Anolis sagrei: one gene and its partners. The protein of the gene in region 1 interacts with the protein of each later gene in a pairwise test. Links are inferred from orthologs where the notes say so. Each region holds a gene or a part of one and is shown in the gene's direction. Other genes may lie near its edges. The genes, in order: GABARAPL2, MLX, FUNDC1 and RETREG1.

Region 1 (7,842 bases):
TACCACCCAGGGTACTCAGGGTGTTTACACATAAGAAGGCAGACATTCAATGCCAAAGTGAGTACAAAACATATCAAAAACATATTAAAATACATGATAGAGCACAACAATAACAGGGGTTTTTTTTGTCGTGTTAGGAGCAACTTGAGAAACTGCAAGTCACTTCTGGTGCGAGAGAATTGGCTGTCTGCAAGGACGTTGCCCAGGGGACGACTGGATGATGTGATTTTTTTTATCATCCTTGTGGGAGGCTTCTCTCATGTCCCCGCATGAGGAGCTGGAGTTGATAGAGGGAGCTCATCCACCTCTCCCTGGATTTGAACCTGCGACCTGTTGGTCTTCAGTCCTGCCGGCACAGGGGTTTAACCCACTGCGCCACCCTTGCCTCCAACAGCCACTGGGGGCTCCAACAACAATAACAGTGAATTAAGCATCGAGATAAAATATAACAGAATACTAAGTAAGACATAATTAACTAAAACATAAATAAACATTACAACAAATACCCTCAAAACAGTTTAAAATACAGTTACAATAAAAATGGCTGGCACCGGTGTTCCTCTAAGACAGGGGTCAGGAACCTTCGGCCCTCCAGGTGTGATGGACTTCAACTCCCACAATTCCTTGAGGCTCGGCATTCGCCCCAAAGGCTTACCTTGGCCTCAAGGAATTGTGGGAGTTGAAGTCCACCACACCTGGAGGGCCGAAGGTTCCCCATGCCTGCTCTAAGATGTATTGTGGCAGCCATATAGTGCAAGTGGAGTTGGCCATAATTCCAAATTTGATGAACAATCACGCCCTGGACTCCTCACCTGCAGCTGGTAGGAGAAGGTCAGCAGGAGCTGGACGCCCACGACTTGCTCCGAGGGCCGCAGAGGGAGCTCCAGGCGTAAGGAAAGCCGGTCCATCAGGCCGTCATGGTCTGCGTCCTCCTCCCGGGCCTGAAGAATGAAGGAATGGATGGAAGCGGGCAGAGGGCCTGACTTCCCGCCATGGAAAAGGAGGAAGGAAGGACCTGCTTTCCTACCGAGATAAGTGGGAGGCGTAGGTGGTCACCCAGAAGCCGGTTGCAGGCTGCAAAGGAGCTCCACCCCACGAAGCCCCCACTGCCCTGCTCTCCAGCCAGAAGCCCTGTTAACAGCACCTCATGCTGAAAGCGGACCCTGGGCTGCTCCTCGTAGCTGCTCCGCTTCAGCCAGAATCCTGTGGGGATGGAAGGAAGGCGGGTAGGCAGCGTTTTTATCCAAAGGATATTTTATTCTTTTTCAAATTTTATTTTACTTTTCAAGAATGACTTTTCAATTGTAATGACTTTGCAAAACACAATAAAATGTATAGCAGGTGAACATTTAGAAACCAAGTTCAAGTTATTATGGTCAATGGAACTCATTGCCCAGTGAGATTAGGAAAGCCCCCACCTTAGAAATTTTCAAGAGGGATCTCAAAACCTGGCTTTTCCAACACGCTTTTGGAGAGTAGCCATATTATCATACACAGTTGCTCCCCCTCAACTGTTTCTGTCCCCAGAGTATATTCCCCACCTGTATGAAGGTCTATATTTATGACCCCGTTCCTTTACGAGTTTCTCCCCCACAAACAATCTGCTCCATCCCTATCTCATCCTGATTTTAGTATTTTTAGTATCTTTGTTTTTATCTTGCACATGAGGCCCATCATTGTTATGTTATTTTATTTTACTGTGTATGATTTTGCTTTATCGTCTTTGCACTCATATGTTGTATGTATTTTACTATGTTGTTATTGTGTTTTGGTTTTACTTTATTGTAATATGCTGTTGGGCTTGGCCTCATGTAAGCCGCCCCAAGTCCCCATTGGGGAGATGGTGGCGGGGTATTAAATAAAGTATTATTATTATTATTATTATTATGACTGGTTTGAGAAAACAGATACAATCCCAACAAAGGATTCTCCCAGATAGGAAGCAGCCAGACTTTGAAGCTGCAAGGCTATTCAATGCTAATCAAGGTGATTAATTGCAACATTCACCCTTGCCTCCAACAGACAAGAATTATTTCTCCTGCCTGGGACATTATTCCAAAGATATATAGACCTCACTTGCCTAGTTTCCAACAGACCTCACAACTTCTGAGGATGCCTGCCATAGCTGTGGGCGAAATGTGAGGAGAGAATGCCTCTGGAACATGGCCATACAGACAAGAATCAATCAGGGCCAGCTAATCACCGGTGATAGTATGATAGCTGGGTCCGGAAGCTCTGAACGTTACCAAGATGCCGCAAAGGTGGCTGTGAATAAGGGAAGAGAGGGGACGGAGTGAGAGCAGGGAGAGCGAAGAAAGGTTAGAAAGGAGGGGACACTTAGGGTAAGGGTTAGGACAAGGTTCAGGGTTTGGGTTAGGGTTACAGTTAAGGTAAGGGTTAGGGGTTATAGTTAGGGTATGGTTTAGGGTTTGAGTTTCGGTTAGCATAAGGGTTAGGGTTTCACCATTAAAGAACTCTTATATTCCTTTTATGTTATCTGTCTCTGGCCTGGCTTACATTAACTAAGTCTCTCTTGCGCAAACAGTGCTCCCGAAGGAGCGATGTGGCATCTCCGTAACACTCGGAGCTTCCGGACCCAGCTATCATACTATTACCTAATCACCTCCCAACAAAGGATTCCCCAGGAAGTAAATAGCCAGACCTTGAAGCTGCAAGGCTATTCAATGCTAAGGAAGAGTTCTTGCTCCCACCCTGGACCTTCCACAGTTATATAAACCCCACTTGCCTAGATTACATTTTTAAAATTTTTATTGTTCATTGTTTTTATGATTTTAAATATACTGTAATGTTTCTTTTTTCTGCGTTTTATCAATGTATGCATTTTATATATGGCATCAAATTGTGCCGACTCTATACGCCGCCCTGAGTCGCCTTCGAGCTAATATGGGCGGGATAGAAATAGCATAAATAAATAAATAAATAACAGACCTCACGCTGAGGATTCCTGCCATAGATGCAGGCGAAATGTCAGGAGAGAATGCTTCTAGAACATGGCCATACAGACAAGAATCAATCAGGGCCAGCTAATCACCTCCCAACAAAGGATTCCCAGGGAAGTAAATAGCCAGACCTTGAAGCTGTAAGGCTATTCAATGCTCCTACCATTGCCTCACAACCTCTGATGATTCCTGCCATAGATGCAGGCGAAATGTCAGGAGAGAATGCTTCTGGAACATGGCCATACAGACAAGAATCAATCAGGGCCAGCTAATCACCTCCCAACAAAGGATTCCCCAGGAAGCTGCAAGGCTATTCAATGCTCCTACCCTTGCCTCACAACCTCTGAGGATTCCTGCCATAGATGCAGGCGAAACCTCAGGAGAGAATGTTTCTGGAACATGGCCATACAGACAGGAATCAATCAGGGCCAGCTAATCACCCCCCAACAAAGGATTCCCAGGGAAGTAAATAGCCAGACCTTGAAGCTGCAAGGCTATTCAATGCTAATGAAGAGTTCTTGCTCCCACCCTGGACCTTCCACAGTTATATAAACCCCACTTGCCTAGATTCTAACAGACCTCACAAACTCTGAGGATTCCAGCCATAGATGCAGGCGAAACGTCAGGAGAGAATGCTTCTGGAACAGGGCCAGCTAATCACCTCCCAACAAAGGATTCCCCAGGAAGTAAATGGCCAGACCTTGAAACTGCAAGGCTATTCAATGCTCCTACCCTTGCCTCACAACCTCTGAGGAGGTTTGCCATAGATGCAGGCGAAACGTCAGGAGAGAATGCTTCTGGAACATGGCCACACAGACAAGAATCAATCAGGGCCAGCTAATCACCTCCCAACAAAGGATTCCCCGGGAAGTAAATACCCAGACCATGAAACTGCAAGGCTATTCAATGCTCCTACCCTTGCCTCACAACCTCTGAGGATGCTTGCCATAGATGCAGGCGAAACGTCAGGAGAGAATGCTTCTGGAACATGGCCACACAGACAAGAATCAATCAGGGCCAGCTAATCACCTCTCAACATAGGATTCCCAGGGAAGTAAATAGCCAGACCTTGAAACTGCAAGGCTATTCAATGCTCCTACCCTTGCCTCACAACCTCTGAGGATTCCTGCCATAGCTGCAGGCGAAATGTCAGGAGAGAATGCTTCTGGAACATGGCCACACAGACAAGAATCAATCAGGGCCAGCTAATCACCTCTCAACATAGGATTCCCAGGGAAGTAAATAGCCAGACCTTGAAACTGCAAGGCTATTCAATGCTCCTACCCTTGCCTCACAACCTCTGAGGATTCCTGCCATAGCTGCAGGCGAAATGTCAGGAGAGAATGCTTCTGGAACATGGCCATACAGACAAGAATCAATCAGGGCCAGCTAATCACCTCCCAACAAAGGATTCCCCGGGAAGTAAACAGCCAGACCTTGAAGCTGCAAGGCTATTCAATGCTAATGAAGAGTTCTTGCTCCTGCCCTTGCCTCACAACCTCACAACCTCTGAGGATGCTTGCCATAGATGCAGGCGAAACGTCAGGAGAGAATGCTACTGTAAGCCCGGAAAACTCACAACAACCCAGTGATTCTGGCCTTGAAAGCAATCCCTCCCTTGTTTTTCGTGGATCCTCACCGTGGCTCCGGAAGGCCACCAGCAGCGGCGAGAGGACGACCAGCACGCCTAGTAAGAAGAGTGCTGTTGCTGCCACCGCGCTGCGCCTCTCCTTAGCCATGGCGCGGCTCCGTCTCCACGGCAACGCGAAAGACAGGAAACGGGGTCTAGGGGGCGGGCTTTCGTGCGGCCGTCCAATCAGCAAGGCGCCTCGGAGAACTCGAGCGGAAGTCCTCCCGACAGTGAGGGTTGTCGGGAATCTTGACAACCGGAAGTCACACCCTGTATTCCGGAAACGGGGAGCAAGAGCTGGAATCTCTGTCGTCGTCGCCGTTGTTGTGGCGTTGGAGGCCCGAAAGAAAGAGCGCGACCCCCGCCCCTCCCTCCTCCGCGCCATGAAGTGGATGTTCAAGGAGGACCACGCGCTCGGTGAGGAAGGAAGGCGGGAGGGAGGGAGGGAGCCGGGCCCGGACAAACAGGAAGGAAGGAAGGCAAAGAAGGGGGCCGGGCCTTTCCTTTCCCTCAGGGATTCTTGATTCCCATCCTGCCTCCTCACTAAGTGGTTCATTATAGCAGCTACACAAAATACAACGCAGAAGGAATGACACTGTGGAAAACAACAACAACAACAATAATAATCCTCAGTTCTCGTGGGTTTTTTCTGGCTATATGGCCATGTTCTGGAGGCAATTTTTCTCCTGACGTTTCGCCTGCATCTATGGCAAGCATCCTCAGAGGTAGTGAGGTCTGTTGGAAGTAGGAAAAATGGGTTTATATATCTGTGGAATGACCAGGGTGGGACAAAGGACTCTTGTCTGCTGGAGCTAGGTGTGAATCTTTCAACTGACCACCTTGCTTGTATGCTAATCAAGGTGGTCAGTTGAAAGATTCACACCTAGCCCAACTTACAAAAGCCCTTTGTCTCACCCTGGTCATTCCACAGATGTTGTTGTTGTTGTTCATTGGTTCAGTCGTCTCCGACTCTTCGTGACCTCATGGACCAGCCCACGCCAGAGCTCCCTGTCGGCCGTCACCACCCCCAGCTCCTTCAAGGTCAGTCCAGTCACTTCAAGGATGCCATCCATCCATCTTGCCCTAGGTCGGCCCCTCTTCCTTTTGCCTTCCACTTTCCTCAGCATAACTGTCTTCTCCAGGCTTTGCTGTTTCCTCATGATGTGGCCAAAGTACTTCAACTTTGTCTCTAGTATCCTTCCCTCCAATGAGCAGTCGGGCTTTATTTCCTGGAGGATGGACTGGTTGGATCTTCTCGCAGTCCAAGGCACTCTCAGCACTTTCCTCCAACACCACAGCTCAAAAGCATCGATCTTCCTTTGCTCAGCCTTCCCTAAGGTCCAGCTCTCACATCCGTAGGTGACTACAGGGAATACCATGGCTTTGACTAGGCAGATCCACAGATATATAAACCCCTTTTTCCCAGTTCCAGCAGACCTCACCTCTGAGGATGCTTGCCATAGAGGCAGGCGAAACGTCAGGAGAAATGCCTCTAGAACATGGCCCTATAGCCCGAAAAAACCCACAAGAACTGAGTGATTCCAGCCATGAAAGCCTTCGACAATACAATAATAATAATCTTTATTTATATCCCGCCCCATCCCCCCCGGAAGGTCTTGGAACGGCTTACAACATAAATAAATACAATAAATAACAAATACAGAATAAAAGAAGGCAGATCATAACATGACAAGTCGATATAAAAGAGGAAAAGGAAGAAAACAAAACAGGCAAATTAAACAATAAGCTGTTATGTTTGTTTATTTATTTACGAGCTTGGATTATGATTTTAGTTATGAGACGCTAGTGAGTTTTTTATTGATGTTTACTGATGGTTATTGGTGTTAATTGCTTACTGTATTATTGTGTTAATTGTCTTTTAAATGGCTGTACGATGTTTGCAATTAATTTTTGCCGCTTCTTGTTGTTAACCGCTCTGAGTCGCCTAATGGTTGAGAAGAGCGGTATACAAATAAAGTAAATAAATAAATAAATAAATTTATTTACTGTATTGTCGAAGGCTTTCATGGCTGGAATCACTAGGTTCTTGTGGGTTTTTTCGGGCTGTAGAGCCATGTTCTAGAGGCATTTCTCCTGACGTTTCGCCTGCATCTATGGCAAGCATCCTCAGAGGTATTTACTGTATTTTTATACCGCCTTTCTCAGCCCGTAGGCGACTCAATGTTAGGCCAGTGGTTCTCAACCAGTGGGCCCCCAGGGGTTTTGGCCTACAACTCCCAGAAATAATAATAATAATAATAATAATAATAATAATGTATTGTCGAAGGCTTTCATGGCCGGAATCACTGGGTTGTTGTAGGTTTTTTCGGGCTATATGGCCATGGTCTAGAGGCATTCTCTCCTGACGTTTCGCCTGCATCTATGGCAAGCATCCTCAGAGGTAGTGAGGTCTGTTGGAACTAGGAAAAGGGGTTTATATATCTGTGGAATGACCAGGGTGGGACAAAGTTTATTTATTTATTTGGTAGTTTTGTATACCGGTCTTCTCACCTCCATTCGAGGGACTCGGGCCGGTTTCCAACATCAATATTACAGACCGTCATTAAAACATCATATTTCTAAATCACACTAAACCATTAAAACATTGAAACAATTAAAATGGCAAAAATACAATCATATGATTACAGTGGTCAGTCGTCATCAAAGTCATTATTCATCATCAACCATCCATATCACAGGATCATGGCTCATTCGTTGAATGCCAATCCCCAAAGCCAGGTTTTCACCTGTTTCCTGAATGTTAAGATCGAAGGGGCAGTTCTGATCTCCAGTGGAAGAGAGTTCCAGAGTCGGGGGCCACGACCGAGAAGGCCCTGTCTCCCGTTCCCACCAGCCGCGCCTATGAGGCCGGTGGGATCGAGAGCAGGGCCCCTCCAGACGATCTTAGTAATCTTGATGGCTCATAGGGGAGGATACGTTCGGACAGGTAAATTGGGCTGGAGTCATTTAGGGCTTTATAGGATAAGGCCAGCACTTTGAATTGTGCTCGGAAGCTGACTGGCAGCCAGTGGAGCTGGCGCAACAGAGGAATAGCATGCTCCCTGTGCCCCGCTCCCGTTAGTAATCTGGCAGCCGCACGTTGGACTAATTGAAGCTTCCGGGCAGTCTTCAGAGGCAACCCCACGTAGAGAGCGTTGCAGTAATCTAAACGGGATGTAACCAAAGCGTGGACCACCGTGGCCAAGTCAGACTTCCCAAGGTATGGGCGCAGCTGGCGCACGAGGTTTAATT
Region 2 (7,685 bases), on another chromosome or scaffold:
TCAAGGTCTATTTTCCCCAGGCTCCACCAGTGTTCACATTTTCGCATATTGAGTGTTTGTGCCAAGTTTGGTCCAGATCAACCATTGCACGAGTCCACAGTGCTCTCTGGACATAGGTGAACTACAACTCCCAAACTCAAGGTCAATACCCACCAAACCTTTCCAGTGTTTTCCGTTGGTCATGGGAGTTCTGTGTGGCAAATTAGGTTCAAATCCATCGCTGGTGCAGTTCAGAATGCTCTTTGATTATAGGTGAACTATAAATCCCAGCAACTACAACTCCCAAATTACAAAACCAATCCTCCCCCAACCCCACTAGCATTTACATGTGGGTGCATTGGGTATTTGTGCCCAGTTTGGTCCAGTGAATGAAAATTCATCTTGCATATCGGATATTTACATTATGATTTATAACTGTAGGAAAATGACTGTTATGAAGTAGCAACAAAAACAATGTTATGGTTGGGGGTCGCCACAACAGGAGGGATTGTATTAAGGGGTCATGGCATTAGGAAGGTTGAGAACCACTGATCTACAGAGACACTCGCTGGAACACCTCAGCAAGCAAGAGTCCAAAAGTGGCAGGCTCAAACCCAGAACCTTAACCAATGGCTGATACCAAATGAAAGGCTCCCCCCTGGGTACACAGAAGACTGGGCAACTTGGAAGGCGCTGAACAGACTGTGCTCTGGCACCACGAGATGCAGAGCCAACCTTCAGAAATGGGGCTACAAAGTTGAATCCACGACATGCGAGTGTGGAGAAGAGCAAACCACTGACCACCTGCTGCAATGCAACCTGAGCCCTGCCACATGCACAATGGAGGACCTTCTTGCAGCAACAGCAGAAGCACTCCAAGTGGCCAGATATTGGTCAAAGGACATTTAATCAACTACTAAACTTCACCTTTCAAACTGCTAATTATCTAAAAATGCAAATACCAAAACATCTCAGGGAGGTATTCACGCGAGCCAGATTTGATCAGCTCGAGACAATGGTTAGATACGGGAGATTTAACAGCATCCCTTATAATGAACGGAGTTGTATCTGCGGGGCACCCGAAACTGAGGATATAGCACACACATTGTTTGATTGCAAATTGTATCAAAAGGTGAGAGACTTCCACCTTGGTCCATATATCAAACGGACAATGTATTGGGATTCTCACATCAGAACAACATATTTTATGTGTGGCCAAGACCCAAAAATAACGTATAAAACAGCTCTGTACTTAAGCAAAACAATACGTCTGAGAACCACATATGTAGGGCTGATTGGGGTAAATTGTAGGGGTGATAATGAAATATGATGTATACACTCAGCTTGATCAGTTTATCAGTTTTATCATGTCTTATCATATGTATTTACTGTATTATTATAAGTGTCTTATTTTAACTTTCTACGTGGAGTGTGATCAGGTCTTGTCAGGCCTTGTTGTTCTGTTTCTTATTGTGATATGGCCTAAGGGCTAATCAATAAAAATTACTACTACTAAACTACTAAGCTTGCAAATTTTGTGTTTTGACTGTTTGTTTTGCTCTGTTAGAAATATAATACAATTGACTGGTTGCCCTGACACGACAAATAAATACATGGGCAAACTTAGGCCCTCCGGGTGTTTTGGACTTCAACTCCCACAACGGCTGTTAGGAAGTGTGGGAGTTGAAATCCAAAACACCTAGAGAGCCGAAGTTTGCCCATGCCTGGTATAAGAACAAGGATGCCTTCCAGAGATTCTCAGGACTTTGGACTTCAACTCCCAGAAGCCTCAGCTGCCTTGGTCAACGAGGAGGGATTCTGGGAACTGAAGTCCAAACAACTTGGATGGGCAGAAGTTGAGGAATTCTGGTACAGAAGCTCTGCTGCTCGATGAGGGACACAAGGAGGTGGCAGGGAAGGCTCCCCAGCTCCGGGAGGTGCGCAAAATGGGGGCCCGTCCCTCCCCGCCACCCAGGCACCCACCTAGGTCCTTGTCGTTGATGCCCAGGTGGTTGTCGAGCTCCGTACAGACTTTGGAGACGAGCGAGAGGTACTCGAGTTTGGCAAGCTCCTCTACAGGGTCCGCCATGGCAACACGCCGCCGCCCCCACCGCTAACCAGACGCGCTTCCGGTTCTCCCCTCCGTGCGTCCCTTAGCGTAAGAGCGTCGCACGCATTACGCCTTACTTCCGGTGTATTCCCCTAAACTTATAAAAGGTTAGAATGCCGCTCTCGGCAGACTTCCGGTGTCATAAGCAGGCAGCCTCAAACTTCTGTCCTCTCGTTGATTGGACCTCTAACTCTCAGAATTCCTGACCATAGAACAAAATGGTTTTGGAATTGGAGGCCCGCAGTTTGACAATGCCTACAATTAAACCTCTCTCCAGATTAGAAGTGAGAGGTGCCAAAAGAGATTTCCCATAAAAAAAAACTCTAAAATTAAAAACAGCAAAACAACAGAGAGGAAACAATCAGGCACATCGAATCACCTCTCAACAAAAGATTGCCCCAGGCACTGCCAGGTCATCAAATGCTAATCAAGGTGGTCAGCTGAAACATTCACACCTAGCTCCAGCAGACAAGAGTCCTTTGTCCCACCCTGGTATTTTTTTTATTTTTTATTTTATTATGTATGTGTCATCCACAACCAGAACACTGTATTACATTTCTAACAGAACAAAACAAAAAAACAGATAAAAAAAACACACAAATTTTGCAAACTTGGTAGCTGATTAAATGTCCTTTGACCAGTATCTGGCCACTTGGAGTGCCTCTGGTGTTGCCGCAAGAAGGTCCTCCATCGTGCATGTGGCAGGGCTCAGGTTGCATTGCAGCAGGTGGTCAGTGGTTTGCTCTTCTCCACACTCGCATGTCGTGGATTCAACTTTGTAGCCCCATTTCTTAAGATTGGCTCTGCATTTCGTGGTGCCAGAGCGCAGTCTGTTCAGCGCCTTCCAAGTCGCCCAGTCTTCTGTGTGCCCAGGGGGGAGTCTCTCATCTGGTATCACCCACAGATTGAGGTGCTGGGTTTGAGCCTGCCACTTTTGAAATCTCGCTTGCTGAGGTGTTCCAGCGAGCGTCTCTGTAGATCTTAGAAAACTATGTCTAGATTTAAGTCGTTGACGTGCTGGCTGATACCCAAACAGGGGATGAGCTGGAGATGTCTCTGCCTTGGTCCTTTCACTATTGGCTGCTTCTTCCCAGCGGATGTCTGGTGGTGTGATACCGGCTAGACAGTGTAATTTCTCCAGTGGTGTAGGGCGCAGACACCCCGTGATAATGCGGCATGTCTCATTAAGAGCCACATCCACTGTTTTAGTGTGGTGTAATGAGTTCCACACTGGGCATGCATACTCAGCAGCAGAGTAGCATAGCACAAGGGCAGAGGTCTTCACTGTATCTGGTTGTGATCCCCAGGTTGTGCCAGTCAGCTTTCGTATGATATTGTTTCTAGCACCCACTTTTTACTTGATATTCAGGCAGTGCTTCTTGTAGGTCAGGGCACGGTCCAGAGTGACTCCCAGGTATTTGGGTGTGCTGCAATGCTCCAGTGGGATTCCTTCCTGGGCAATCCTCAGAGTTTGGGGTGCTTGTCTGTTCTTAAGGTGAAAGGCACATGTCTGTGTTTTGGATGGGTTGGGGATCAGCTGGTTTTCCCTGTAATAGGCAGTAAGAGCACCTAGAGCTTCAGAGAGCTTCTGTTCAACCATCTCAAAGCTCCCTGCTTGGGTGGTGATGGGCAGGATATAAATATATGACTTTGAGATCTTCCGGGGAGACCCTGCTCTCGATCCCGCCTGTTTCTCAAGCTCAGCTGGCGGGTACGAGAGATAGGGCCTTCTCGGTGGTGGCTCCTCGGCTGTGGAACGCCCTTCCTACGGACATTAGACTAGCACCATCTCTAATGGTATTCCACAAAAAAGGTGAAGACCTGGCTGTTTGAGCAGGTGTTCGAATAATTAGTGGAATGATTGGTTAATGAACACTGGAATGGAACAATGGATGACGAATCTGGAACATGTTTTTGATGACGAGACGATAGTGAATGGGTATTGTAGTAACTGTTTATTAATTGTGTAATGTGTTAGGTTGTTAACTGTTTCTATACTGTAACACTGAATTTTTGCTGTTCATATTTGTTGTGAACTGCTGTGAGTCGCCTTCGGGCTGAGAACAGCGGTATATAAGTAAGGTAAATAAATAAATAAATAAATAATAATATGAAATGAATTTTGTGCTTACTCTTTGTGTGGTTTCCTAATAAATAAAATTGGTGGTTTACTAAAGATATTATTAAACAAATGCTGAGGGATCTTGTAGTAAAGGGGACAAAGGCTGGATCTTCACTGGCCTATAATCCAGATTCAGAATGTGGATTAACTAAATTGAATCGGATTATAGTAATCTATACTGGCCTACAATCCAGATCAATGCAGTTTATCCACATTCTGAAGATGGATTACAGGGCAGCTTAGATTCAGCCGTAGTGACTGCAATTTCTGTCCCTCTCCATTAATTTTTCAGGATAACTCTCACTTCCGGTCTGGGGATGGTGTATTGCAATAGTAAACAGGAAATGACGTTGAAGACAAGCAGGTGGCTGCAGGATTTGTCCGGCAGAAGAGGAAAAACTACCTTTCCCAAAAACCTCTGCAGTTCGACGCGACTCTTCCGGGAGGACCCTCCCCCCAGCCCTGATTGGCCAGTGCCAGGAGGACACGTGACATTGTGGCCTAGCTGTGGGAAGATGGCGGAACCGTCCAGCGTCTCTTCGGAAAATGCTTGGGTAGGAAAAGTGAGTGGAGCTGGGAGGGGCTGGGCCTGGGTCTCGAAGTGCATCGCAGGCCTGTGGAGGTCAGGGACTTCCTTGTCCTTTCGGGCGAAGAAATGTAAAGTAGCCTCTGAGCATACGAAGAATGTCTCTTCAAACCTCAGCTTTGGCACCATTCCGTCTGCTAAACTAACCTTAGGCCAGTGCGTGAGAGAGGGGCTTCCTCTTTGTGTTATGTTTAGATTTACAAAGGGTTTAATTAAATCTTAAGTATAAACAATTCACCTGTTTTGAGGAGATGTTTAAGCAGCAGCTGCTGCGCCTACATTTGGCTGGCAGCCATTTGTGTTGCCATTTTTAATAATAATAATAATAATAACTAGCTGTACCCGCCACGCATTGCTGTGGCCAACCTTCCCTCCCTCTTTCTCTCCTTTCCCTCCTTCCTTTGCTCCCTCTTTCCTTCCTCCCTTTTTCTCCCCCCCTCTTCCTCTCCTTTCTTCTCTACCTCTTTCCTTCCTTTGTTTTTTTGCTTCCATTCTTCCTTCTGTCTTTCCTTCCCTCCCTCTTTCCTTCCTTTCCTCCTTTTCCTTTCCCTCTCTCCTTCCCTACCTCTTTCTTTCCTTTCCCCCTCCCGTTTTCTTTTCCTCTCTCTTTCTCTCCTTCCTTCCTTCTCTACCTCTTTCCTTCTTTTGTTTTTTTGCTTCCATTCTTCCTTCTGTCTTTCCTCCCCTCCCTCTTTCCTTCTTTTCCTTTCCCTCTCTCCTTCCCTACCTCTTTCTTTCCTTTCCCCCTCCCGTTTTCTTTCCCTCCCTCTTTCTCTCCTTCCTTCCTTCTCTACCTCTTTTCTTCCTTCTTTCGCTCTTTGCTTCCATGCTTCCTTCTCTCTTTCATTCTTTCTTTCCCTCTCTCTTTCTCTACTTCCTTCACTCCCTCTTTCCTTCTCTCCTTTCTTCCTTCTCTACCTCTTTCTTTCCTTCCTTCACTCTTTGCTTCCATCTTTCCTTCTTTCCTTCGCTCCCTCTTTCCTTCCTCACCCCCCCGTTCTTTTCCTTCTCCTTTCTCTCCTTTCTTCCTTCTCTACCTCTTTCCTTCCTTCACTTTTTGCTTCCATCCTTCCTTCTCTACCTCTTTCTTTCCTTCCCACCTCTTTCTCTCCTTTTTCCCTCCTTCCTTCATTCCCTCTTCCCTTTTCCTTTTTTTCTTCTCTCCTTCTTCCTTCTCTACCTCTTTCTTTCCTTCCCCCCTCCAGATTTCTTTTCCTCCCTCTTTCTTTCTATCCTTCCTTCCTTCTTTCTCCCCTTCCTTCCCCCCCTCTTCCTTTTTTCTGTATTGTCATTTAGCTTTTGGGTTTTTTTTTAAGTCCTTTCCAGTTTTTTTGGGGGGGGGGCATGGTGATTTATGAGTGATCACTTGTTGGTCTGTTAGGGGTATAGTGTCTAAATTTCATGTTAATTCATCCAGTAGTTTTTGAATTCTGTTAATCCCACAAACGAACATTACATTTTTATTTATATAGATAATAATAACTTTATTTTTATACCCCGCCAACCATCTCCCCAGGGAGACTCGGGGCGGCTTACAAAGGACAAGCCCCAAAATTACAAATAAAACACACATTTAAAAACATCAGGTAAAATATAAAAACAAACACAATTGTAAGCAATATCAAACAATATGGCTGAGAAAAAATATAGCTGAGGTTTAGGTGCCTTGCATGCAATACATCCTGAAGAGGAGCGCAAGGAAAGTGCAACAATCAAGTAGATAGGACTAGGAATAGTGTCATCAAAGTGTTGAGGTGGATGATAAGAGGGCCAAACATAAAGTGCAGGAAAAAGTTACAGGTTGACTGTTTAATTGAAAGCTTACCGGAATATCAAGTTTTTTAGTTGACACCAGAAAGAGGACAAAGTAGGAGCCTGTCTGATTTCCCTAGGCAGGGAATTCCGGGGGGGGGGGGGGGGGGGGACCGGTTCTTTTTCTATTTTTATATATTTAGTATTTTTTGTATTTCCATATGGATCTCTGTCCTAAACTTTTTTGCTTTTGAAGAGGTCCACCAAATGTGGAAAAATGTTCCAGTTTGTTGCCCACATTTCCAACATTTGTCTGAAGTGTTTTTATAACATTTTGACATTTTGTAAGGGGTTAAGTACCACCTATAGCAGTTGTTATGTTGGCAATTTCTTCCTGGATGTTGGTCTTCAAATCTTGTAGGGTCCTTGGACGGTTCACATAAACACCGGATTTCAAAAACTCCCCAAGGAAAAAAATCACAAGGGGCCAAATCTGGAGAGCGGGCTGACAACTCCAAATCCGCTCGAAAAGTAGGCCTCAATGGCAAAAGCACGCTCCTCACTGTTCCAACGCATGATGTGCGACTGAACTGTGTCAGGACAAAACTTTATACTCCCGCCTCTCAAACGAGACCACTAGCACTCCTCTACGTCTTCAACCGACTGAATGGCGCGCATTTTAAAAAAGGAAGTTATGCTGCCTCACCCTGGAAGAAATGAATAAAGATTCTATGAATGGGGGCTCTGAGGTTAAACCCCAATTTGGACCACATAGGGATATTTGAAGAAGAAGAAAATTGATATTTTGGCTCACACTTTTCCATTGTGTTGTTATCTTTTACAAGGGTTGAGGTTAGTTTTCTACTTATATATATCATAACAGGAAGGCTGGGTGTGGTCCCCCTGAACAGCAGTCTTCTAATGCAGAAATACCAGAACTTAACACAAGCATTTGTTTTAGGAAGGATATACTGCAACATTTCTTTGTACAGTAGAGTCTCACTTATCCAACATAACCAGGCCGGCAGAACATTGGATAAGCGAAAATGTTGGACAATAAGTAGGGATTAAGGAAAAGCCTATTAAAACCTCAAATTATGTTATGATTTTACAAATTAAGCAACAAAACATTATGT
Region 3 (7,851 bases), on another chromosome or scaffold:
GTTCTCCCCTGGAAAGAGGACAATAAAGAATAAAGTTATTGTCATACCAGTCTTATAAATGCAGTGGTCAAGTAAACCTTGTTTTCCATTGGACTCTGAAATATTTGAATGCTCTTCTGTGCCATTTTATTAGCATTACTGAATGCTACAGCAATATGGGTTTTGTTTCAAGATTAGTAAAAGCCTTGAGCAAGATTAGTAAAAATGAAAGGTAGCACACAAGTATTTTAACAAATCGGAGAAACACTTCATGCTTATAGGCACGAAGAAATAAACCTGCATCAGTCTCAGATTATTATTAGTTCAGTACCATGAACTGCTAAATGTTTTCTAAGAATCTATTGTGGTTTTCAACACTTCTGAGAGACCTTGCTGCCAAAGAGAGGCATATGAAGTCTTTGAAGAAATTATGACCAAATAACCCAATCTTGACTGATCTTGTGTTGTTGATGGCTTTCGTGGTTGAGAATGCTTCTGGAACATGGCCATAAAGCCCAGAAAACTCACAGCAACCTATTGACTGATATTGACTGATATTATTTCTAATAAAGTTACACTGGAACAAAACTATTGGAAAACTATTGTTTTTAAAGTATTATACATTTTGGTTTTGCACACATGCATACACAAATTATGGCAAGTTTTCCTGGTTAGGGAAAAGGTAGAATGGGATCGTTCATGGCTTAAATTTCAGAGCAATACCTAAAAGGGCCAGTGTGTTTATTTATACCTCTTGGTAAGGAATGGTGACTGACTCATGATTTACTCATGTTTATACTGGCACAAGTAAGGTTCTGGGATCATTTATACAGCACAGAACATGGTTCCAAGCTGAAGTAACTTCATCCATTTTCCCGTGGGATCTGCTCTCTTAATGTTTTCTGTTTGCAACAACCTAGTGAAATACACAGAACAGGAATGCATTGTTACATGTACTAAATAAATAAAATCTATGAAAATTAGATAGATATGCTCAACACTGCACCAATTTCTGCTGTTGCTGCTACAGAGTTTATCTTTTTATTGCCTCCAGTTTTAAATAAATCAGTCTTATGCTTTTATTTTTAGTTGCTCTGCTAATTGTTTTGCTAATCTTGTACATGAAAAAAGAATGCAGACTCTAACTATTGAAAAAGAAAAAGCTTGTCCATATGCATTGTCAGCAAAAAAGTAAAAAATAATCACATGGTTTTAGATTCATACATTGAAGCACTACTAGAAATGCATGATTACTTTGACTCTTCCGCCCTTTATATAAGTATTCAATTTTAAAATGTAGGTGACACACAACCCACAAAATATTATTGTTTATTGCCAATATATTTTTATTTCCCTTTTTGTCTTAGAATCAAAAGCTAAAACACATGACTCTTTCTTTAAAATGTCAACAACGTTAGGTAAGGTTGGCTTGGGTGACCTAAAGTAATCCAAGTAAATTCATCTTAGACTGGATGTACACTGCCCTATATTTATTTATTTAAAACATTTATATTCTGCCCTTCTCACCCCAAAGGGGACTCAGGGCAGAGGGCAGCAAATATATGGCAAACATTCAATGCCGGGACAAGAATTCATTATATGTATACATAAACAATAAAAACATTTATCTCAATATTAAAATACATTGTTTATAGCCCAGTATTCTTCTTATTCCAGATTATCTGGTAGTGTAGACTCATATAATCTAGTTCAAAGAAGATAATCTGGGACCAGATTCTGAGATATAGGGCAGCGTAGATCCAGCTATAGTTGGAAGAGATCACAAGGGTGCCCCGGTGGAGCAGTAAGTTATACCCTTGTGCCGGCAGGACTGATGACTGAAAGGCCAGCTATTTGAATCTGGGGAAAGCGGGTTGAGCTCCCTCTGTCAGCTCCAGCTCCCCATGCAGAGACACGAGAAAAGCCTCCCACAAGGATGATAAAACATCAAAACATCCGGGCGTTCCCTGGGGAACGTTCTTGCAGACGGGCAATTCTCTCACACCAGAAGTTACTTGCAGTTTCTCAAGTCACTCCTGATATGGAAAGAAAACCCCAAAACAAAACAAAAAAACAAGAGCCATATATCAACTCCTTGCCTTATAGGAATACACAACCAAAGCACTTCTGAAAGATGCACATCCAACAATCGTTTAAAGACCTCTAAAAGGTGGGGAGTCCATCACCTTCTAAAATCATTTATTCCACTGTTTGTACAGGTATTACAGCAGTAAGGTTCTTCCTAATGTTTAGGTGGAGTTACTTTTCCTGTGGTTTGAATTCATTGGTTTTAGGTTCTAGCTTCTGGAGCTTCTTCCATTTTCTACATGACTGGAAGTGTGTCTATTAGGGTTTGGCTCTACTCTAACTACTATGCCTCAAAGCTATGGAATCATGGGGGTTGTAGTTTGGAGAGGCAGCAGTTATTTAGCAGACCTAGTAAAACGACAACCCCCATGATACCATACCGTTTAGCTAGACCTGTTAAAGTGGTGTCAAACTGCATTCATTCTTCAGTATAGATGCACCCCAAGACTGCCTGAATTCAAGGGGATGGCAGGCCACTGGTTCCCAACTACTAGTCTTTCAAATGTTTTGGACTTCAGAAGTCTGTCAGTATGGCCAATGCTTAGGGAAGTCCCCAAATTTAGAGGACTATAGTTTGACAACCACTAGTTTAGCAGTCTGCCTGCCACCTGAAGCAAGGAGGGAAAAAAAACCCCAACAAAAACACAACTCCCAGCAGCTCCTGCCAGCACAAGCAATGGTAAGGATTGCTGGGAAATGGAGGCCAACAACATCTGGAGGGCCACAGGGTTCCCTCTCTTATATCAGATAAATCCAGGTGGCTGCCTCAGGCAGTGAGCTGGGCCATTCCTCCCTTTTACTGGGCCTCTACCAGCCTTATCCACCAACTGGAACCTAAACCCATCTCCACATCTACGCTTTCCTTTCCCAGGTTTTATCAACACTGCAAAATTATGGCAGTTTGACACCACATTAACCACCACAGCTCAATATGATTCTCAAAGATGTTGCCCTACAGATACATTAAAACTTGCACAGAATTATTCAAAAATATTGTGTAGAAAATCATTCTTCAGGGTGTATCTGCATATAGGGTGTATCTATATAAATAAAAATGTAATGTTCGTTTGTGGGATTAACATAACTCAAAGACCACTGGACGAACTGACACCAAATTTGGACACAATACATGTATCAGGCCAAAGAGTGACCATCACTCATAAAAATGCTGAAAAACACAGCAGAAGAGACTTAAAAAGACAAATAACAAAAAAATACAACACACACAAAACCACATATATACACAAACACACATATACACAAAAATACACACACATATACACATATAAAACACATATAAACAGACTGGACCACAGCAACGTGTGGCAGGGGATGGCTAGTATCTATATAAATAAAAATGAAATGTTAGTTTGTGGGATTAACATAACTCAAAAATTGACACCAAATTTGGACACAATACACCGATCAGGCCAACGAGTGACCATCACTCATAAAACACTGAAAAACACAGTGGAAGGGACTTAAAAAGCCAAAAAAGCAAAAAGATGAGAAGAAAAGGAAAAAAGGGAACAAAAGAGAGAAAGGAGAGAAAGAGGGAGGGAAGGTTGGCCACAGCAACGCATGGCGGGTACAGCTAGTTAAACATAAATGAATATTGTTTAGATTTGGGGCCCATCTTCAAGATATCTCACTACATTGACATTTTAGTCTATATAGCCCACATTGCCTGGGTGTTGGGGGGGGGGGGGCACGGGGAAGTAGCACTGCCTACCTGCTTTCTCCTTTCTTCAGTTCTGAGAAGGCCCACATCACAATGTCTCCATGGCAACACTCTGGCCAGGGTGGGCAGGCTTTGTTTGTGGTGCTTTCTTTCCTTCCCCCATTTCTCTCATGCAACTCTCTTTTTCTTCCCTTGCTTTCCGTCATACATCTTCCCTCCATTTCTTTCTCTTCCTTCCTCTTCCCTTTTTCTCTCTTCCCTCCCATCTGTCTCTTTTCTCTCCTCACTCATTTCCCCTTCACTTTCTCTTCCTTCTTATCTTTTCTTTCTTTCCCCTTCCTTCCTCCCTTCCTCTTATATATGTCACCTAGCAACAGCCAATCAATCTGCTTCAATCCCTTTCTTTCCCAGTCACATGACACCAACTCAATCAGCCTCCTTCCTTTTCCTTTATTCTGCTCTAGGCCCAAAAAGGATTTATTTAATGTATTGTCGAAGGCTTTCATGGCCGGAATCACTGGGTTGTTGTAGGTTTTTTCGGGCTGTACGGCCATGGTCTAGAGGCATTCTCTCCTGACGTTTCGCCTGCACTTTGGCAAGCACCCTGAGGCTGTTAAGCATGGTGGGAGTTGAAGTCCAAAACACCTGAAGGGCCCAAGTTTGCCCAGGCCTGATCTACACCTTAGATTTCATGCAATCTGACTCCTCTTTAGCTGCCATGACTCCATTATATGGAATCCTGGGAGTTGGAAGTTTTGGTGCATCCCCCTCTTTTGACAGAGAAGGCTAAGGTCCTTGCCAAACTACAACTCCCATGATTTCATAGTGTAGGGGCAAAGAAACCAAAACACTTCCCAAAAGCAGGAGCCCCCTTTCCAGTAACATTCAGCATGGCAGTGAAAGTGGGGTAAGACTGCATTAATTCTGCAGACTTGAAGCAGCAAGACCTTGGTTTCAGCAGAAGGGAAGAAAAAAACAGATTCCCCATAATCCCCGGGAGGAGGGGTGTAGCCTCCATGATGACGTCACGCATTGAAGGCCACAAAGCCCGAAGAGGCGGAGGGAGGCCTGGCTGTGTTGTGAGCATGCGCAGTCTTGTGCGGCCTTAGAGCGCCGAACCTGTACAGAGCTGGTGGGCGGAGCATCCGGGGACCTCCTCCTCCTCCTCCCCCCGCCCTCCAGTTGCCAACATGGCGTCTCGGCGATCTCGCTCCGCCTCAGGTCAGTGGGGGCCTCTTTGGGCCGCGCCGGGTGCTGTTGCCATGGTGCCCTCCTGGTCCCCCGGAGCGGAGTTGGCTTGGCCTTTTCCGCGCAGACTTCGGAGCCTTCCCACTCATCCTTCCCCCCATCTCGTGATAGCCCTGCCCTCCTGGAGCCAGTGCTGTGGGGCTGACGAGAGAAATAACTAGAGAGAGGAAAGGGCCATGCTCATTGGCTGCGCTGCGACGGAGGAGGCGGGGCCTGGCCTGGCCTAGCCTTTTCCTCCAGGCCCCAAAGAGGAAGGAAGGAAGGAAGGAAAGCTCGGGTGGCAGTGGGGAGGGGACAGCACAGACACTGCGTGCACACTACAGAATCACAGTTACTTGGCACCACATTAACTGCCATGGCTCAGTTCTGTAGAATCCTGGGAGTTGCAGTTTTGTGAGAGAATTGCATTCCTCTGTCAGGAAGCCCTGAAGCCACAATAAAGCTCAAATCCCATTATTCCATAGAATGGAACCATGGCCTTTAGGGTGGTGTCAAACTGGTATAATTCTGCAGTGCAGATGGTCTCTAGCCAAGAAGAAAAACAAGGAAGAAAGGCAATGTGGCAGCACATCTAGGATTTGACTCAAGAGTTCATCTACACCAGGCATGGGCAAACTTTGGCCCTCCAGGGTGTCTGGACTGTAACTCCCACAATTCCTAACAGCCCCAGGCCCCTTCTTTTCCCTCTCAGCCACTTAAGCTGATATTTTGCACCCCTCAACGTTTTCTGCTAATGGAGTTTGTGCCCTCCAAATAGGATGTTCAGCTTCACAACTCTGTGTGTTTTATGAGTCCCTTATAAACGTCCTGCTCCTATTTTATCTGATCATGGTTTGTTAACCGTTTTTATCCTGAATATGTGGCCCGCCCATAGTCATCACTACCATGATTGTGTTTATTGGAATGTTTATTTTACGATTTTTTCTCTCTTTTTAATGTAATTTTGATAATGATGTTGTTGTCTGTTGTATATGCTTTGATTTTATTGCTGTAATATGTTGTCTGGGCTTGGCCCCATGTAAGCCGCTCCAAGTCCCCATCGGGGTGATGGTGACGGGGTAGAAATAATGTTTATTATTATTATTATTATGCACCAGCAATTCCCCTTCAGCTTAAGCGGCTGAGTGGGAAAAGGAATGGGCCTGAGACTGTTAGGAATTGTGGGAGTTGAAGTCCAAAAACCCTGGTGGGCCCATGTCTACACTGTGGAATTAATGGAAATGATGTTATGGAGCCTCCGGTGGCACAGTGGGTTAAAGCTCTGTGCCGGCAGGACTGAAGACCGACAGGTTGCAGGTTCGAATCCGGGGAGAGGCGGATGAGCTCCCTCTATCAGCTCCAGCTCCTCATGCGGGAAGCCTCCCACAAGTATGATAAATCCGGGTGTCCCCTGGGCAACGTCCTTGCAGACGGCCAATTCCCTCACAACAGGAGCGACTTGCAGTTTCTCAGGTTGCTCCTGACACGACAAAAAAAAAAAAAAAAAGGGAAATGATACCACTTCAACTCCCATGGCTCAGTGCTATGGAATTGTGGGAGTTGCAGTTCTGTGAAATAATTGCTTTCCTCTATCTGGAAGCCCTGAAGCCACATGGCCTTTAAAGTGGTGTCAAACTGGTATAATTCTGCAGTGCAGCTGGTCTCTAGCCAAGAAGAAAAAGTAAGGAAGAAAGGAAATGTGGCAGCATATTTGACTCAAGAGTTCATCTACACCAGGCATGGGCAAACTTTGGCCCTTCAGGGGGGTTTGGGCTTCAACTCCCACAATTCCTAACACATTCAAGCCCCTTTTCCTCCTCAGCCGCTTAAGCACCAGCAATTCCCCCTCAGCTTAAGCGTCTGAGGGGGGAAAGGAATGGGCCCGAGACTATTAGAATTGTGGGAGTTGAAGTCCAAAACCCCTGGAGGGCCAAAGTTTGCCCATGTCTGATGTACACTGCAAAATTAATGGAAATGATACTACTTTAACTCCTATGGCTCAGTGCTATTGAATTGTGGGAGTGGCAATTTTACAAGCTTCCTCTGCCAAAGTGTGCTGGTGTCTCACCAAACTGCAGATCCCAGGATTTCATAGCACTTAGTCAAGGAAAGTAGAGTGGTACGAAACAGTATTGATTCTGCGGTGTAGATTTATTCTCACAAGTTCTCAGTTTTCCTCCCATCACATCTACATGGGGACATAAATCCCCCCCCCCCAACTCAATGTAATTATGTTGTATATGAATACTTTTTTGTCCAGCATGCATATTTTGTATATTTGTATTTCAACATTTTATGCAGATACAGCATTCAAATTGGAAGTTTTACTCAACAAATGAGTTTGATAAGGAACCATTTTTCTGAATAATAATTTAATGTCTGGAAAATTCTTGTTCCTGCTTTGAGCAACAATCCACCGATGGTCACACCTCTGTGTTTAAGAACCACTGAACCAACTTTTTTCATTTTTTGATACTGCCACATTTCCTTTCCTTTATTTTCTTCTTTCCCTTCCTTTTTATGGTACAAGAGACCAAAAAGCCTATTTCTTTGAAATCTACCACTCTGGGCAAGAAGGTTTGCTCATGAGAAGCCTTTCATACTGTGCAGTGAGGACACATTTCCTACAAAGAGTGTTTAGGATTTTTAGTCAATCAAATTTTACCCAGATGTTTATCTAATCCTTCCCATGCTGCCTTTGGAAACCCCACAGCTTCAAAAAATTTGTTTGGATTAGAATCTTACAGCTTAATTATGGAGGTCCAGAAAAAATAACCTTTCCAAGTTGAAGACCGACTGCCTCTGATCCTGAGGTAGCAAATAGTTTTTTCCTGTAATTTGCTGAGATCAGTAGAGGACAGGGCTGTTTTAATGTC
Region 4 (6,909 bases), on another chromosome or scaffold:
TGTGAGTATCTCTGTAGATATTAGGAAGTTATTTCTTCATTTAATCATTGACATGCTGGCTGATATCTGAACAGAGGATGAGCCAGAGATGTCAATGCCTTGGTCCTTTCATTACTGGTCGCTATTTCCCAACAGATGTCAGGTGGTGCAATACCGGCTAAACAGTATAATTTCTCTAGTGGTGTAGGGCTTATTTATTTATTTATTTATTTACAGTATTTGTAGCATGCCTTTCTCAGCCCTAAGGCGACTCAAGGCGGCTTCCAGAATTGGCAGAATTTGATGCCATGCATTCATAAAAATACAATTAAAACATTCAGCATAATATTATTTAAAAAACCATATTAAAAACCATAGACATTCTGTGATAATGTGGCATGTCTCATTAAGAACCACATCCACTGTTTTAACTTGGTGAGGTGTATTCTACACTAGGCATGCATACTCAGCAGCAGAGTAGCAAAGTGCAAGGGCAAATGTCTCACTGTGTCTGGTTGTGATCCCCAGGTTGTGCTGGTCAGCTTTTGTATGATATTATTTCTAGTGCCCACTTTCTGCTTGATATTCATTCAAGCAGTGCTTCTTGTCAGTACGTGGTCCAGGGTGACTCTCAGGTATTTGGGGATGCTGCAATGCTCCAGTGGGATTCCTTCACAGGTAATCCTCAGAGCTCAAGGTGCTTGTCTGTACTAAAGATGAAAAGCACATGTCTGTGTTTTAGATGGATTAGGAATCAGCTGGTTTTGCTTGTAATAGACAGTTTATTTATCAGTGTCAGAAGCAAATTGAGAATACAGTTATAATGTATAAAAATCACAAAGTTAAAACCTTGGCATTATGCTAAATTTCCTTGGACCAGAAGTTGGCCACTTCAAGTGCCTCTGGTGTCACTGTATGAAGGTCCTCCATTGTGCATGTGGCAGGACTCATACTGCATCGTAGGCAGTAAGAGCACCTGAAGCAGTGATTCTTAACCTATGGGTCCCCAGATGTTTTGGCCTACAACTCCCAGAAATCCCAGCCAGTTTACCAGCTGTTAGGATTTCTGGGAGTTGAAGGCCAAAGCATCTGGGGACCCACAGGTTGAGAACCACTGACCTAAAGCTTCAGAGCTTCTGTTCAACCATTTGAAAGCTCCCTGCTTGAGTGGTGATGGCACGATCATCAGCATAGATGAGACTGGGTTGCTGTGAGTTTTCCGGGCTGTATGGCCATGTTCCAGAAGTGTTCTCTCCTGACGTTTCGCCCACATCTATGGCAGGCATCCTCAGAGGTTGAGAGGTCTGTTGGAAACTAGGCAAGTGGGGTTTACTTATCTGTGGAGTGTCCAGAGTGGGAGAAAGAACTCTTGTCTGCTTGAAGCAAATGTGAATATTGCAGTTGGCCACCTTGATTAGCATCTAACAGCCTTGCAGCATCAAAGCCTGGCTGCTTCCTGCCTGGGGATTTTTTGTTGGGAGCTGTTAGCTGGCCCTGGTTGTTTTCTGTCTGGAATTCCCCTAGTGTTTGTTTTTTTTAGCGTTCCTCTTTATTTACTGTCCTGATTTTAGAGGGTTTTTAAAAAAATACGTAGCCAGATTTTGTCCATTATGTTTTTCTCCTTCCTGTCGAAATTGTCCACATGCTTGTGAATTTCAGGGGCTTCTCTGTGTAGTCTGACAGGGTGGTTGTTAAGAGTGGTCCAGCATTTCTGTGTTCTCAAATAATATGCTGTGTCCAGGTTGGCTTCCCAAGTGCTCTGCCATGGCTGAATTCTTTTCTCCTGCTATACAGCCCAGAAAACTCTCAGCAACCCAGTGATTCTGGCCACGAAAGCCTTCGACAACATGTAGAATCATAAAGCTGGAAGAGACCTCATGGGCCATCCAGGACAATCGTGTTCAAAGCACCCCCAACAGATGGCCATCCAGCCTCTGCTTAAAATCCTCCATAGAAGGAGCCTCCATCACACTTTGGGGCAGAGAGTTCCACTGCTGAACAGCTCTCACAGTTAGGAAGTTCTTCCTAATGTTCAGGTGGAATCTCCTTTCCTGTAGTTTGAAGCCATTGTTCTGTGTCCTAGTCTCCAGGGCAGCAGAAAACAAGCTTGCTCCCTCCTCCCTATGACTTCCTCTCACATATTTATATTTACTTACTTAGGCAATCCCTCGTTGGCCGAGTCAGATAGTCTTCCAGGATCAGTATTCTTGTGGGTGTGGAGCCCTGTTCTTGACCTGCATCTTCTCCCACAGTGAGGGCATTGGTTTCCAGGTGGAAGGCGGTCTCGGTCAGAGTTGGCTTGACACACCTTCCTCTTGGCAAGTTTCCCTCTTTCACCCTCCATTCGTGCCTCTTCAAATTCTGCAGCACGGCTGGTCACAGCTGACCTCCAGCTGGAGCGGTCAAGGGCCAGGGCTTCCCAGTTCTCAGTGTCTATGCCAGAGTTTTAAGGTTGGCTTGAGCCCATCTTTCAATCTCTTTTCCTGTCCACCAACATTCTGTTTTCCGTTCTTGAGTTCGGAGTAGAGCAACTGCTTTGGGAGACGGTGCTCGGGCATCTGGACAATGTGGCCGGTCCAGCGGAGTTGATGGTGGAGGACCATCACTTCAGTGCTGGTGGTCTTTGTTTCTTCCAGCATGCTGACGTTTGTCCGCCTGTCTTCCCAAGAGATTTGCAGGCTATGATGTCTCCTCTGTTTAAAATCCTCCATTATCAAGGGATGTCTGCGCCCTACACCACTGGCGAAATTACACTGCTTAGCCGGTATCGCACCACCTGACATCCGCCGGGAGGTGGCAGCCAATAGTGAAAGGACCAAGGCAGTGACATCTCCAGCTCATCCCCTGTTTGGGTATCAGCCAGCACGTCAACGACTTAAATCCAGACATAGTTTTCTAAGATCTACAGAGACACTCGCTGGAACACCTCAGCAAGCAAGAGTCCAAAAGTGGCAGGCTCAAACCCAGAACCTCAATTCATGGCTGATACCAAATGAGAGACTTCCCCCTGGCACACAGAGGACTGGGCGACTTGGAAGGCGCTGAACAGACTGCACTCTGGCACCACAAGATGCAGAGCCAACCTTCAGAAATGGGGCTACAAAGTGGAATCCTCGACATGCGAGTGCGGAGAGGAGCAAACCACAGACCACCTGCTGCAATGCAACCTGAGCCCTGCCACATGCACAATGGAGGACCTTCTTGCAGCAACACCAGAAGCACTCCAAGTGGCCAGATACTGGTCAAAGGACATTTAATCAACTACCAAACTCACACATTTTGTATTTTCTCTGTTTGTTTGCTTTGTTCTGTTAGAAATGTAATATAATTGACTGGCTGCCCTGACACGAGAAATAAAATGTCTCCTCTCATCCTTGACTTCTGCAGGCTAAACATTCCAGCTCTTTAAGCCGCTCCTCATAGGGCTTGTTCTGCAGACACTTGATAATTTTAGTCGCCTTCCTCTGGACACATTCCAGCTTGTCAATATCTCCCTTCAGTTATGAAACTCTCTGTCCCTTCTGTCAGTGTACATGTTAAACATGGATGGAGCAAGCACCAGAAGCGACTTGCCATCCCAATTGATTGCCACACAGGGCGAGCTTTCCCGCCCTTTCTACATTGTTGACGTCAGCGCGTTCTAAACCCACTCTTCTTCATGCCATCCCTTTAAATACGTTTCCTCCCCTCACAGGTTGATTCTATCCCGCCGACACAAAATCCGGGCGAAAGCGATTCGCGCGCACATTCCCCCGCCCCGCCCAGTTTCCCCTCTATTAACCCTTCCTGCGCTCAGCCCCGCGCGCTCGTGTAGCCTGGGATCTCCGAGTTGACCAATCAGAGGCGCCGCGCAGACCCACACGGGGCTGTGATTGGTTCTTGCCCGAAGAGAAGGCGGCGCGCGCACAAGTAGCGGGGGGGGGGGAGTGAGAGACAGATGCGCGTCCCCGGATGTTGACAAGCCTGTCAGACGACGGAGCGGAGATGGATGGCGAGGAGGCGGCTGCAGCAGCGCGGAGGGGCTCTCCCTCAGGGCGCCTGGGGAGCCAAACGGAGGCCGAGGGGAAGGAGCTGGAACCCACCGGGACTTGGCGCTGGTTGGTGGCGGCGCTGACTGGGAAGAGGCCCCTCAGCGTCCTGGCCGCCTTCCTCTGCGCCAACCTGCTCTTCTGGTGAGAGGCGCCGCTGAGGGAGAGCCTCGCAGATTGCACTGCAGCCTCCCTCTCCTTCTCTCTCTCTCTATCTCTCTCCCTCCGCCCTTTCCCTGTATTTGCCCCCTTCTTCCTAGTTTATCTCTGGCTTCAAAGGCATGCAGGAGGAGTGTGGAGAAAGGGCACCTCTGAGCATGCACAGAGTACATCTGCAGCAGAGAGGCAGCCTCAGGGCCCTTCCACATAGCCATGTAACCCAGCATATCGAGGCAGGTAGTAATATATATATAAATAAAAATTTGTGGGATTAACAGAACTCAAAAACCACTGGACGAACTGACATCAAATTGGGACAGCATACACCTAACAACCCAATGTATGTCCTTCACTCAAAAAATTGATTTTGTCATTTGGGAGTTGTAGTTGCTGGGATTTATAGTTCACCTACAATCAAAGAGCATTCTGAACGCCACGAATGATGAATTTGGGCCAAACTTAGCACAAAGGACTCCAATCACCAACAGAAAACACCAGAAGGTTTGGGTAGTATTGACCTTGAGTTTGGGAGTTGTAGTTCACCTACATCCAGAGGGCACTGGGGACTCAAACAATGATGGATTTGGACCAAACTCTACACGAATACTCAATGCCGAAATATGAACACTGGTGGAGTTTGGGGAAAATAGAATCTTGACATTTGGAAGTTGTAGTTGCTGGGATTTTTAGTTCAACTACAATCACAGAGCATTCTGAACCCCACCAACGATAGAATTGGGCCAAACCTCCCACACAGACCCCCCATGACCACCAGAGTGAGCTACAGCAAGTCGTGGCAGGGGACGACTAGTAATAATAATAATTCAGACAGACAGTTTTTGAGCACAATACTAGAGTTTTGGAGCACAATACTCCTGACTGCACAATCGTGGAAAAAAACAAAGTATGGGTTGTCGATGTTGCAATCCCAGGTGACAGCAGGATTGAAGAGAATCAACTGGAAAAGCTGACACGATATGAGGATTTAAAGATCGAACTGCAAAGACTCCGGCACAAGCTAGTAAAGGTGATCCCAGTGGTGATTGGCACACTGGGTGCAGTGCCTAAAGACCTTGGCCTGCACTTAAACACAATTGGCATTGACAAGATTATCATCTGCCAGCTGCAGAAGACCACCTTACTGGGATCTGCATGCATTATTCACCGATACATCACACAGTCCTAGACACTTGGGAAGTGTCCAATGTGTGATCCAATACAACAGCCAGCAGAGTGATCTTATCTGCTGTGGACCCATCTTGTTGTGTTTCAAATAGTAATAATAATAATAATGATAATAATAATAATAAATGTTATTTATACCTCACCATCATCTCCCTGAGGGGGACTCGCGGCCAAGCCCAAAGATACAATACAGCAAAATAAAATAGAAAATATAGACAACAAAAATTACATCAGAATAAAATACATAAAGTAGTAAAATAAAATAAACCAAGCAAATTGACAAAACGTAAAATCAAACACAATAATTGTCAAAGGCGTTCATGGCCGGAATTCTACAACAACCCAAACACAATTAGCAGGCCAAATGGACAAGGTAAAATAATAAAACCCTGGATGAGGTAGGAATAAAAAAGTGTAACTATTATTAAGAGGAGAACAATTATTAGATAACTTTGTGAATGAATGGCAACCAATTATTCAACATCCTAATGTAAAATTCAACTAAAAATGTATATAGAGGATCCTATAAGATTGTAGACAAGGAGGAAGCGGATGTAAAGTAAGAATATATGATAGTTTTATATGTATTATTTAGATAGTAGATTGTGACCCCTTAAAGGAAATATATTATCAGATAAATGATTATGGAACATTAATAGATAGAAAGTATAGCACTGTATGCAACAAACACTTGCAAATTTATGTCTACTTAAATACAATTTTTTTTAAAAAAAAAGTAATTGAGAGGAGCCCAAAAAGGATGAACAGTGGGGTTATGCTTTCAATTTAGAACAGGGGAAAGTGCATCATAGGGGCAACACTGTAGATGGAACAGACAAAAAATGGGACATGGTCACTCCCAAAGGCACATCGAGAGAGCCAAGTTTTCAGATTTTTCTTAAAGGCTGCTGAGGTGGGGGCCTGCCTAATCTCACCACAATATCTGTTTTGAACTGAGTTATCTGAGTCCACACTGCCATAGCATTCAATTCAATGTGGATTTTATACAGCTGTGTGAAAGAGGCCTCAGAATATCAAGGCAGATACAGTAGAGTCGTGTTTAACCGACCTTCGATAATCTGACGTTCTGTGTTATCCGACTCGGAAGGGTTTGCTGCGTCTTGCTATGCAGTGTTTATGCTTTGTGCGAGTATGGAGGCAAAAAAAAAGAACGTGGTTGTATCAATTGAACAGAAACTTGAGGCAATCAAGAGACTGGACAAAGGAGAGATTGTGCAGAAGGTAGCCGAGGACCATGGCATTGGAAGGGTAATAGCAGGGGACTGGAAAAGGAACCGATTGGAGATAGAAAAATTGTGTTCCTCCAGAGTTGAGCAGTAAAAAAGAGGAAAAGATTAGAAAGTGTAACTATGAAAAAGTTAGCAAAGCTTTGTACAGTTCAGAGACAAAGGTGTGCCTTTTTAGGGCCTATTTTACAGCAAAAGGCATTGCATTTGCGAAAGGAATTTAATGAAGGACACCCAGATTTTACAGCAAGCATTAGCTGGCTTGACAGGTGGAAGGAATATTATGAAATCTGTCTGATAAATGTTTGTGG

The links.
Region 2: the proteins of GABARAPL2 (region 1) and MLX interact in binary tests that used the Homo sapiens proteins (3 or more experiments, as listed by UniProt). The two-hybrid records come from large-scale screens. The link is inferred for Anolis sagrei from reciprocal best matches to the Homo sapiens genes GABARAPL2 and MLX.
Region 3: the proteins of GABARAPL2 (region 1) and FUNDC1 interact in binary tests that used the Homo sapiens proteins (3 or more experiments, as listed by UniProt). The two-hybrid records come from large-scale screens. The link is inferred for Anolis sagrei from reciprocal best matches to the Homo sapiens genes GABARAPL2 and FUNDC1.
Region 4: the proteins of GABARAPL2 (region 1) and RETREG1 interact in binary tests that used the Homo sapiens proteins (3 or more experiments, as listed by UniProt). The link is inferred for Anolis sagrei from reciprocal best matches to the Homo sapiens genes GABARAPL2 and RETREG1.

The regions. Positions count from the first base shown.
Region 1 is NC_090028.1:29,634,308-29,642,149, reverse strand, and holds the start of GABARAPL2 (gamma-aminobutyric acid receptor-associated protein-like 2), read left to right. Parts: upstream 1-4,838; 5' UTR 4,839-4,973; coding exon 4,974-5,007; intron 5,008-7,842. Other genes in the region: TMEM231 (transmembrane protein 231), read right to left, coding at 813-941, 1,028-1,203, 4,600-4,699. UniProt on the Homo sapiens protein: Ubiquitin-like modifier involved in intra-Golgi traffic. Modulates intra-Golgi transport through coupling between NSF activity and SNAREs activation. It first stimulates the ATPase activity of NSF which in turn stimulates the association with GOSR1.
Region 2 is NC_090026.1:51,084,807-51,092,491, reverse strand, and holds the start of MLX (max-like protein X), read left to right. Parts: upstream 1-4,681; 5' UTR 4,682-4,726; coding exon 4,727-4,774; intron 4,775-7,685. Other genes in the region: ATP-dependent RNA helicase DHX8, read right to left, coding at 1,963-2,068. UniProt on the Homo sapiens protein: Transcription regulator. Forms a sequence-specific DNA-binding protein complex with MAD1, MAD4, MNT, WBSCR14 and MLXIP which recognizes the core sequence 5'-CACGTG-3'. The TCFL4-MAD1, TCFL4-MAD4, TCFL4-WBSCR14 complexes are transcriptional repressors.
Region 3 is NC_090023.1:77,008,966-77,016,816, forward strand, and holds the start of FUNDC1 (FUN14 domain-containing protein 1), read left to right. Parts: upstream 1-4,848; 5' UTR 4,849-4,938; coding exon 4,939-4,969; intron 4,970-7,851. UniProt on the Homo sapiens protein: Integral mitochondrial outer-membrane protein that mediates the formation of mitochondria-associated endoplasmic reticulum membranes (MAMs).
Region 4 is NC_090024.1:100,715,104-100,722,012, forward strand, and holds the start of RETREG1 (reticulophagy regulator 1), read left to right. Parts: upstream 1-3,901; 5' UTR 3,902-3,930; coding exon 3,931-4,151; intron 4,152-6,909. UniProt on the Homo sapiens protein: Endoplasmic reticulum (ER)-anchored autophagy regulator which mediates ER delivery into lysosomes through sequestration into autophagosomes.